Saccharomyces cerevisiae S288C: one gene and its partner. The protein of the gene in region 2 interacts with the protein of the main gene of each other region in a biochemical or structural test. Each region holds a gene or a part of one and is shown on either strand. Other genes may lie near its edges.

The links.
Region 1: the proteins of SEC31 (region 2) and PEF1 form a complex in vitro, tested with the Saccharomyces cerevisiae proteins (one study listed by BioGRID).

The regions. Positions count from the first base shown.
Region 1 is NC_001139.9:604,459-607,844, reverse strand, and holds PEF1 (Pef1p), read right to left. Parts: upstream 1,710-3,386; coding exon 702-1,709; downstream 1-701. Other genes in the region: septin SPR3, read right to left, coding at 1-282; LST7 (Lst7p), read left to right, coding at 2,344-3,072. UniProt on the Saccharomyces cerevisiae protein: Calcium-binding protein that is required for polar bud growth and cell wall abscission. Can also bind zinc ions.
Region 2 is NC_001136.10:105,693-111,849, forward strand, and holds SEC31 (Sec31p), read left to right. Parts: upstream 1-1,515; coding exon 1,516-5,337; downstream 5,338-6,157. Other genes in the region: ASF2 (Asf2p), read right to left, coding at 1-802; SNF3 (glucose sensor), read left to right, coding at 5,888-6,157. UniProt on the Saccharomyces cerevisiae protein: Component of the coat protein complex II (COPII) which promotes the formation of transport vesicles from the endoplasmic reticulum (ER).

The DNA of each region.
Region 1 (3,386 bases), on a different chromosome or scaffold from region 2:
GTTTTTGATACCGATGTCTTGGCCGTGTGAATTGGTGTTTATTTCTTGTGCTTTCTTGTTATCTAACAATGGAAGGTCCCTGTTCCTGCATTTACCGTTAACAAAAGAGGATGACCTCTGTCTTCTGTGTTTCAGTTCAGGGCTTTTCGGAGGATGTGAATCGACGGCGTACTGTCCTTGGGAACTTTGTCTACGTATTTTCACTTCCTCAGCGAATCCAGAGACTATCTTGGGAAATTCGACAGGACAGTCTGTTGACAACCGACTCCCTTTTGACTTCATAATAAAAATTCAATGACGCAAAAGGAATTTTAGGTTTTTATTATTTATTTATTTATTTCTGTTAATTGATCCTTTTCTTTCCACTACCAACAACAAAAAAGGGGGGAAAAAGATGTATAATCTAAAAGACACTAATCTGCTCTTGATATCCTTATTATGTAATGGAATAACTCATATAAATGTAAAATAGAACTTCAAATTAATATTATAATGATAGTCGAGGTCAGACACACTTATAATACATTAAGTAAAGAAAAAAAAATGTCTGTCATCGAGGTCTCTTTTGTGTCGCTAACAAAACATCACTAAATACGAAGACACTTTGCATGGGAAGGATGCAGCAAATGGCAAACTAACGGGCCATTGATTGGTTTACCTCTTCTATTTGTATTACGACCAGAAAGAACGAATGGTTTTCATCAATGAGGTAGGAAACGACCTAAATATAATGTAGCATCGATAAAATCTTTGTACTGTATGGTTGCAATGCCTTCTTGATTAGTATCGAATTTCCTGAATAATTTTGTTAATCTCATTAGCCAAACTAACGCCTCAACGAATTTATCAAACTTTAGTTCTTTTCCTGTTCCATTTCTGTTTATAAACTCAGCATATTGGTCAAATGTTTTCTCGCTAACTTCAAAAGGTATTAGATATCCTAGTTCTTGAAGTGAGTTATGAAATTCGCTTACAGAAATGGTGAGCGATCCGTTGATATCATTGTCCACATAAACTTTTCTCCAACTTTTCACTCTTTTGTATAGGGCGATGAATTCTGCCTGGTTGACAGTGCCAAACCTGGAAGCACCAAATAAATTTATCAGCGCATCTACTGATGATATACAAAAATGGGAGTTGTCGTCGTTTTGTAGTAAGTTCTGTAGTTCCTCAGCTGTCAGTCGGTTTTTGCCCTTTACATCATGGTTATGAAATAGCTGTGTGGCCACTTGCATGTCTCGTACATCTTCTCTGCTATCGAACGAAGCAGGTGCAACTTTCTTCAAGAGTTGTGCAGGCACTGCTTGATTGTGAATTAGGGGAGGAGGAGAGGAAGCTATCCGTTGAGCGGAAGTGTTCAAGTTGTTATAATGGGTTGGCGCTGGAGGTATAGGCCTGCCTGCTGGTTTCTGTGCGATAACATTATATCTAGGATCCACAGGTGTTTTCGTATGTCTTGGAGAATAACTTTGGGGAGAACCATAGGAGTGGTGACCGTTTTCTGCTCTGTTTTTGTTATATTGAGTTTGTAAGGGAATTGGAGCTGAGTGGACTCTAGTGTTGGGAGTTTGTGCTTGAGTAACCTTTATTTGTTGCTGTCGTTGTTTCTCTTTCTCGAATTCACGTCTAGTTTCCTCCATGGCCTCTTTAGGTGTAGCATAGCGTACAAAGTCATCGCCAGCAGCGTATTTGAGCTTCTTTGCACACATCGTTTAATGGTGTAGGTTTATAGTTATTTTATGCGGTATACGGTATACATACATGTTCAGTGAAATAGCAATTCCCATCGCTTTGTATTCCTGCGGTTTTTTTATTCGGATAGTTTCTAAATAAAAAAAATCGACAAGACCCTGAGCCAGATGACTGAAATTATCAGTTGTTAAAAGCGATGGAGCACTATCCAATATGCGTATTGTTTTCTTCTTCTGAGTTATGTATATAATGGTGAACTACAAGATTATATAGATTCAGGTGCAAGGTATTGAGCATGACACATGCTGTGTGTATCGTGGCCTATTCACTGTGGCCTATTTCATTCCACTTCCACTGAATATCATTTCAAATGTATTAAAAGACTTTTGAAAGTAACACTGATAGTATGTTGTAGTTGTTCTTGGAAATGTTGAACCAAACCGATTGTTCATTCGCCAAGTTCGAAGATGCCGTTTTCGTACTTGCCAGAAAAAACACGCTTGAAAAAGAAAATCTTGAGTAAAAAGAAAAGGGCTTAGGAATCTTCTATTCGATGACCATCAAACGATAAATGAAGCAATAAAGTCCAACTAACTAGCACCTCCATAAAATAAGTTAGCGTTTAAATGGTTGATGAAATAGATGCATAGAATGTCCTCGACAGTGATTTCATTGGCTCATTTCTGCGACAAGCATGGCCCAAGGATCATATCAGTTACACAATCCGCAGAAAAGGGAACGCTAGGTGAAGAATTACTAGTGCCTGATTATCCAACTGAATCATATTGCGAATCATGTCTTTTACAGTTTCCTGAAGAGTCAACTAGATCGATGCGGTGCTTCATCGAAGATGTTCCGTTTATAACTACCCAATATTCTTCTATAAGATACCAATTGCTAAATTCTATTATTAAAAGAGCCTTTTCTGAAGAAACAATGATTTATGATAATATGCCTTTTATATTTTTTGATGATCTTAGAGGATTGAACTTAGTTATAGGCTTTAAACTGTATGATGAAAATGCTAGAGGCAATGAAAGAAGATATTGTTTTATTTTAACAGTCGATTCCAGAAGCCATGACGATTCTATGAAAATGTTGAGTGAACACTGGAACTTTATCATCGGTGGATTTGATAAAATGATTGCATATATTAAAAACATTCATAAAAGCGAATTCTTGGGGAAAAATAAAACGGTGGAAAACAATTTGGAAACATTGAATAATAACGCTTTCATTGGCTCATATTTACGTGCAAACAAATCTAAATTCGGCCGTAATTTGGTGTCTCTGACGGATGATAAATTTCTCTTCGTGCGAATACATAAATGGAATTCATTTTTACTCCATACAGTAATGAATGAAAATAAATTACCTTGACTCAAATAAACTGAGATAAATGCTGGTAACCTAATAACCGATGAAATTACGGCATGGAAAATTGTTGGAACAACCTCCTAGTTCCTTTTATTCTTTCATTTCGATTCGAAATAGTCATCAAGGCCGAATACTTTACTCCGACGTGGCTTCTGGGATGAATTTAAAAAGGAAAGCCATTCTGGACCGCGATAGATAAATAGTAAGCTAGGTTTACAATTGTGCGTTTTGAAAGGCAACAAAACGATTGAGGTCTATCGTATGAATAACAAAATATATATGGTATATGCATGAACATATATAGATACATGTGGTGA
Region 2 (6,157 bases):
GGTTAGCGATGCTTTTCTTGTAGGATAACATCGTGAGATTGGCTTTGTCGACCAGCTCAGGAATACATTTAAGATAGTCATCCTTTGCTTTAGCCTGCTTCTTCAAGTGCTCCAGTGATTTGGTTGCTTGTAGCAGTTGCATTTTCAAGTTATTCACTTTGATTTCGGAATTTTTTCTCACGTTATTCAGTTCTCGCCTCACTTTGGCCAGCTCTTTTGAGCTTTCTGCATCAAACACCTTGCTGTCTAAACTTAGTTCTAGTCCTTCGTAGTATTTTTCATGGAACGTGTGAATCTCATCTAACTTGGTGTTCACCGTGTTCTGGACGTTTTTGTAGTCCTGTAACTTGGCGCAGATTTCCTTCTTGAGATTAACAAGCAAAGTGTATTCATCGTAGTTGCGTTCTTCTTTGCTAGAGGGAAGTCGAACAAGTTCGATTCTCTTTTCAGCAGAGCTCTTGTGCGTTTCCTTTAACGCGTTGTTCTCATCCAGGATACTTTTCATTTTTCCATGTAAACTAGCCATCTTAATTTCATAGCCTATGATCTCGCCGGACAATAACTTGGCGCTAGACACTAAAGCGGCTTCATTTTCTCGGTAATGATTCACTAAAGATTGAAGCTCCTTGACTTTGCTTTTCATCTGCCTTAAAGATGACTTCTTTTGTACTCTTGAGCTGCTGAGGCCCTTCGTCACAGCCGCATATTCCTTGTCCGAGTTGAAAGATGAGCTCGACTCCTGATCACTACCATCTATCACACTGCGAGTGATGGCATCCAAGACACCACGATTTTTTGGCATAAGCACTCAGTCTTGGCCTTTTTCCCTCCTTTCTCCACTGATCGAAGCTGTGTGCAAAAATCGTCCCCGGTGTTTATTTATTTGTCCTATGGATAGATATGTTACTCACGCGTCGCGTCGCTCCTAAAGACATGAAAAGCGCTTTTACATCTTTGCTAATACTAGCATCGCAGAAGATCTTCTCCATTGCTATGCAACATACCTGCCTTGGTAGTTGGTTTCATAATTTACAATATACAAAGTTATATGCCCTCCGAGTCAAGGAAAAGATTGTCTTCCAAAAAAGGTGCAACTGTGCGTTTAGAATTGGTGGAGAATTATGTGATATGCTTCTTCACCGTCCTCTGCTTCTGCCTAATACCACACTCATCAATTGACTGGAGATCTGGCCTATCTTGCTACTACTTCATAGATTTTTTTTTTTTTCATCTATCCCCTTCCATCCCCTTCTGGTTCTACCCCTTCAGCGTGAAAAATCACCATACACGATCAATCCGCCCGAGAACGAAAAGTGAAAAGAACAAACAAGTCGTGTCAGATCCATTCCTCTATTCCTGTAGTCGGGTTGCATTCTGAATTTACACGTCACGAACCAGCACTATTTCGCTACTGTAGGTGTAGAACATTAGGACAAGGCAAGCTTCTGCGATAGACACTTTACTCACACATATTTCCCTTTGTTCCCGTTTGCTCTCCCTAATTGAACAATAAAGATGGTCAAACTTGCTGAGTTTTCTCGAACAGCCACGTTTGCGTGGTCACATGATAAAATTCCATTATTGGTCTCTGGTACCGTATCTGGTACGGTGGATGCTAATTTCTCCACTGATTCATCTCTAGAATTGTGGTCATTGTTGGCTGCTGATTCGGAGAAGCCTATTGCTTCCTTGCAAGTGGATTCCAAATTCAATGATTTGGATTGGTCTCATAATAACAAGATTATTGCTGGTGCTCTGGATAACGGTAGTTTGGAATTGTACTCCACCAATGAAGCAAACAACGCTATCAACTCCATGGCCAGATTTAGCAACCATTCTTCCTCTGTGAAGACGGTAAAGTTTAACGCAAAGCAAGACAACGTTCTTGCTTCGGGTGGTAACAACGGTGAAATTTTTATTTGGGACATGAATAAATGCACTGAATCGCCCTCCAATTATACTCCATTGACACCGGGTCAATCGATGTCGTCCGTTGACGAGGTCATTTCCCTAGCATGGAACCAATCTTTGGCCCATGTTTTTGCATCTGCCGGGTCGTCTAATTTCGCATCTATTTGGGATTTGAAGGCTAAGAAGGAAGTCATTCATCTAAGTTACACTTCACCTAATTCAGGTATCAAGCAACAGCTGTCCGTTGTTGAATGGCACCCAAAAAACTCCACAAGAGTGGCAACGGCTACTGGTAGCGATAATGATCCATCTATCCTGATCTGGGATTTAAGAAACGCCAACACACCATTGCAGACTTTAAATCAAGGCCATCAAAAGGGTATTTTGTCATTAGATTGGTGTCATCAGGACGAACATCTATTATTGTCCAGTGGTAGAGATAATACCGTTCTTCTATGGAACCCTGAGTCAGCCGAACAACTGTCCCAATTCCCAGCTCGTGGAAACTGGTGTTTTAAGACCAAATTTGCACCAGAGGCTCCAGACCTATTTGCTTGTGCCTCCTTTGATAACAAAATTGAGGTACAGACTTTGCAAAATCTCACAAACACTTTGGATGAGCAAGAAACCGAAACTAAGCAGCAAGAATCTGAAACAGATTTTTGGAATAATGTTTCCCGAGAGGAATCAAAAGAGAAGCCAACTGTTTTCCATTTACAAGCCCCAACTTGGTATGGGGAACCATCTCCCGCAGCTCATTGGGCTTTCGGTGGTAAATTGGTTCAAATTACTCCAGATGGTAAAGGTGTATCTATAACAAACCCAAAAATTTCAGGCTTAGAATCAAACACTACTTTGAGTGAAGCGTTGAAAACTAAGGATTTCAAACCATTAATAAATCAAAGACTGGTCAAAGTTATTGATGACGTTAATGAAGAAGATTGGAATTTATTGGAAAAGTTATCAATGGACGGTACTGAGGAGTTCTTGAAAGAGGCTCTTGCATTCGACAACGATGAATCAGATGCACAAGACGATGCCAACAATGAGAAAGAAGACGATGGGGAAGAATTCTTTCAACAAATTGAAACCAATTTCCAACCCGAGGGCGATTTCTCCTTGTCTGGTAATATCGAACAAACTATTTCCAAGAACTTGGTTTCTGGCAACATTAAGAGCGCTGTGAAAAATTCTCTAGAGAATGACTTACTAATGGAGGCCATGGTGATCGCATTAGATTCAAATAACGAAAGATTAAAGGAAAGTGTCAAGAATGCCTATTTTGCGAAGTATGGATCTAAATCATCGCTCTCGAGGATACTATACTCCATTTCTAAGAGGGAAGTAGATGATTTGGTTGAAAATTTGGATGTCTCTCAGTGGAAGTTTATCTCTAAAGCAATTCAAAACTTATATCCAAATGATATCGCCCAGAGGAATGAAATGTTGATTAAATTGGGAGACAGGTTAAAGGAAAATGGTCATAGACAAGATTCTTTGACTTTGTACTTGGCTGCCGGATCATTAGATAAGGTGGCTTCAATTTGGTTATCAGAATTTCCAGATTTGGAGGATAAATTGAAGAAAGATAATAAGACAATTTATGAAGCTCATTCCGAATGTCTAACTGAGTTCATTGAAAGATTCACCGTATTTTCCAACTTCATTAATGGAAGCTCTACCATTAATAATGAGCAATTAATTGCCAAATTTTTGGAATTTATCAACTTAACTACTTCCACAGGAAATTTCGAACTAGCCACTGAATTCTTAAATAGTTTACCAAGTGACAATGAAGAGGTTAAAACAGAAAAGGCACGTGTCTTGATTGCTTCCGGCAAATCATTACCGGCACAAAATCCTGCGACAGCGACGACCAGCAAAGCCAAGTATACAAACGCCAAGACAAATAAGAACGTTCCTGTACTACCAACTCCTGGAATGCCTTCTACTACTTCTATTCCTAGTATGCAGGCACCATTTTATGGTATGACACCAGGCGCCTCTGCAAATGCTCTACCTCCAAAGCCGTACGTTCCAGCAACCACCACTAGTGCTCCTGTTCATACAGAAGGTAAATATGCGCCACCAAGCCAACCTTCGATGGCGTCACCTTTTGTTAACAAAACAAATAGCTCGACCAGATTGAATTCTTTTGCTCCTCCGCCTAACCCATATGCCACTGCAACAGTTCCTGCAACGAACGTATCTACAACGTCGATTCCGCAAAACACTTTTGCTCCTATACAACCTGGTATGCCTATTATGGGCGACTATAATGCTCAATCTAGCTCTATTCCTTCACAACCTCCAATTAATGCTGTATCGGGTCAAACGCCACATCTCAACCGTAAAGCCAATGATGGTTGGAATGATTTGCCTTTGAAGGTCAAAGAAAAACCATCTCGTGCCAAGGCTGTATCTGTTGCCCCTCCAAATATCCTATCGACACCAACTCCATTAAATGGTATCCCTGCAAATGCTGCTAGTACCATGCCTCCGCCACCTCTTTCCAGAGCTCCCTCTTCTGTGTCAATGGTATCACCACCTCCTCTACACAAAAATTCTAGAGTCCCATCCTTGGTTGCAACTTCTGAGTCACCAAGGGCATCCATATCAAATCCATACGCTCCTCCTCAATCATCACAACAATTCCCAATAGGTACTATTTCTACAGCAAACCAAACGTCAAACACCGCTCAGGTAGCTTCATCGAACCCCTATGCTCCACCACCACAACAAAGAGTAGCAACCCCATTATCTGGAGGCGTGCCTCCAGCTCCGTTGCCAAAGGCCTCTAATCCATATGCTCCAACTGCAACCACTCAACCCAACGGTTCCTCCTATCCTCCAACCGGTCCGTATACTAATAACCATACCATGACCTCTCCTCCTCCCGTTTTTAACAAACCTCCCACTGGCCCCCCTCCGATTAGCATGAAGAAGAGAAGCAACAAGTTAGCTAGTATAGAACAAAACCCATCTCAAGGTGCTACTTATCCTCCAACCCTTTCCAGCTCGGCCTCTCCATTGCAGCCTTCTCAACCGCCAACTTTGGCTTCTCAGGTTAATACCTCCGCTGAGAATGTCAGTCATGAAATTCCAGCTGATCAACAACCCATTGTCGACTTCTTGAAAGAAGAACTGGCTCGCGTAACACCATTGACCCCAAAGGAGTACTCCAAACAATTAAAGGATTGTGATAAACGATTAAAGATTCTTTTCTACCATTTGGAAAAGCAGGATTTATTAACCCAACCAACAATCGATTGTTTACATGACCTCGTCGCATTAATGAAGGAAAAGAAATACAAAGAAGCTATGGTCATCCATGCTAATATCGCTACAAACCATGCTCAAGAGGGTGGTAACTGGCTGACAGGAGTGAAGAGGTTGATTGGCATAGCTGAAGCGACTTTGAATTAATTCAGTCTCAAAACTTTCAGTACAAAAAGTGGCGTATTGGCCTTGTTTTTTTCTTATTATGTCTTATAGTATTATATTTATATATTTATGTACTTATCCTTTTATGTTTAAACCTAATCAAGATCACAATTAGAACTAGCTTAACATTACTTCTCAAAACCAACCAATACCTCTTATATCTTTTTTACAGCCTTTCCCTTATGTTTTTACCATGTACACCTCGAGCGGCAAATCTCCGGGGAAATTTTAAACTTGCCGCATCGCACATTCTAAAGAACAAAAGGAGGAGGAACTGTCAATTATTCTATAATCTGGGGAAATTCAGTCATACTGAGAAAAACTAGACAATAGTCCTATCCTCGGCAAATTGCATTGATAGTACTTACACATCGAGAGATCATAGGACAGATAAGAAGCATTTTATTGAAGAAAAACAGAGAGAGTCACTATAAGTTGACCTCACTATAGAAATTAAAACAGAAAAGTTTTACTGAGGACCTTTTTAAACAGAAGGATATGCCTTTGTTGGCATAGAAAGAAGAATTTATAAATGGATCCTAATAGTAACAGTTCTAGCGAAACATTACGCCAAGAGAAACAGGGTTTCCTAGACAAAGCTCTTCAGAGGGTGAAGGGCATAGCACTGCGACGAAACAATAGTAACAAAGATCATACAACAGATGATACGACAGGTAGCATACGAACCCCTACGAGCTTGCAGCGGCAAAATTCTGACAGGCAATCTAATATGACATCCGTGTTTACGGATGACATTTCTACCATAGACGACAACTCAATTTTATTTTCAGAGCCTCCTCAG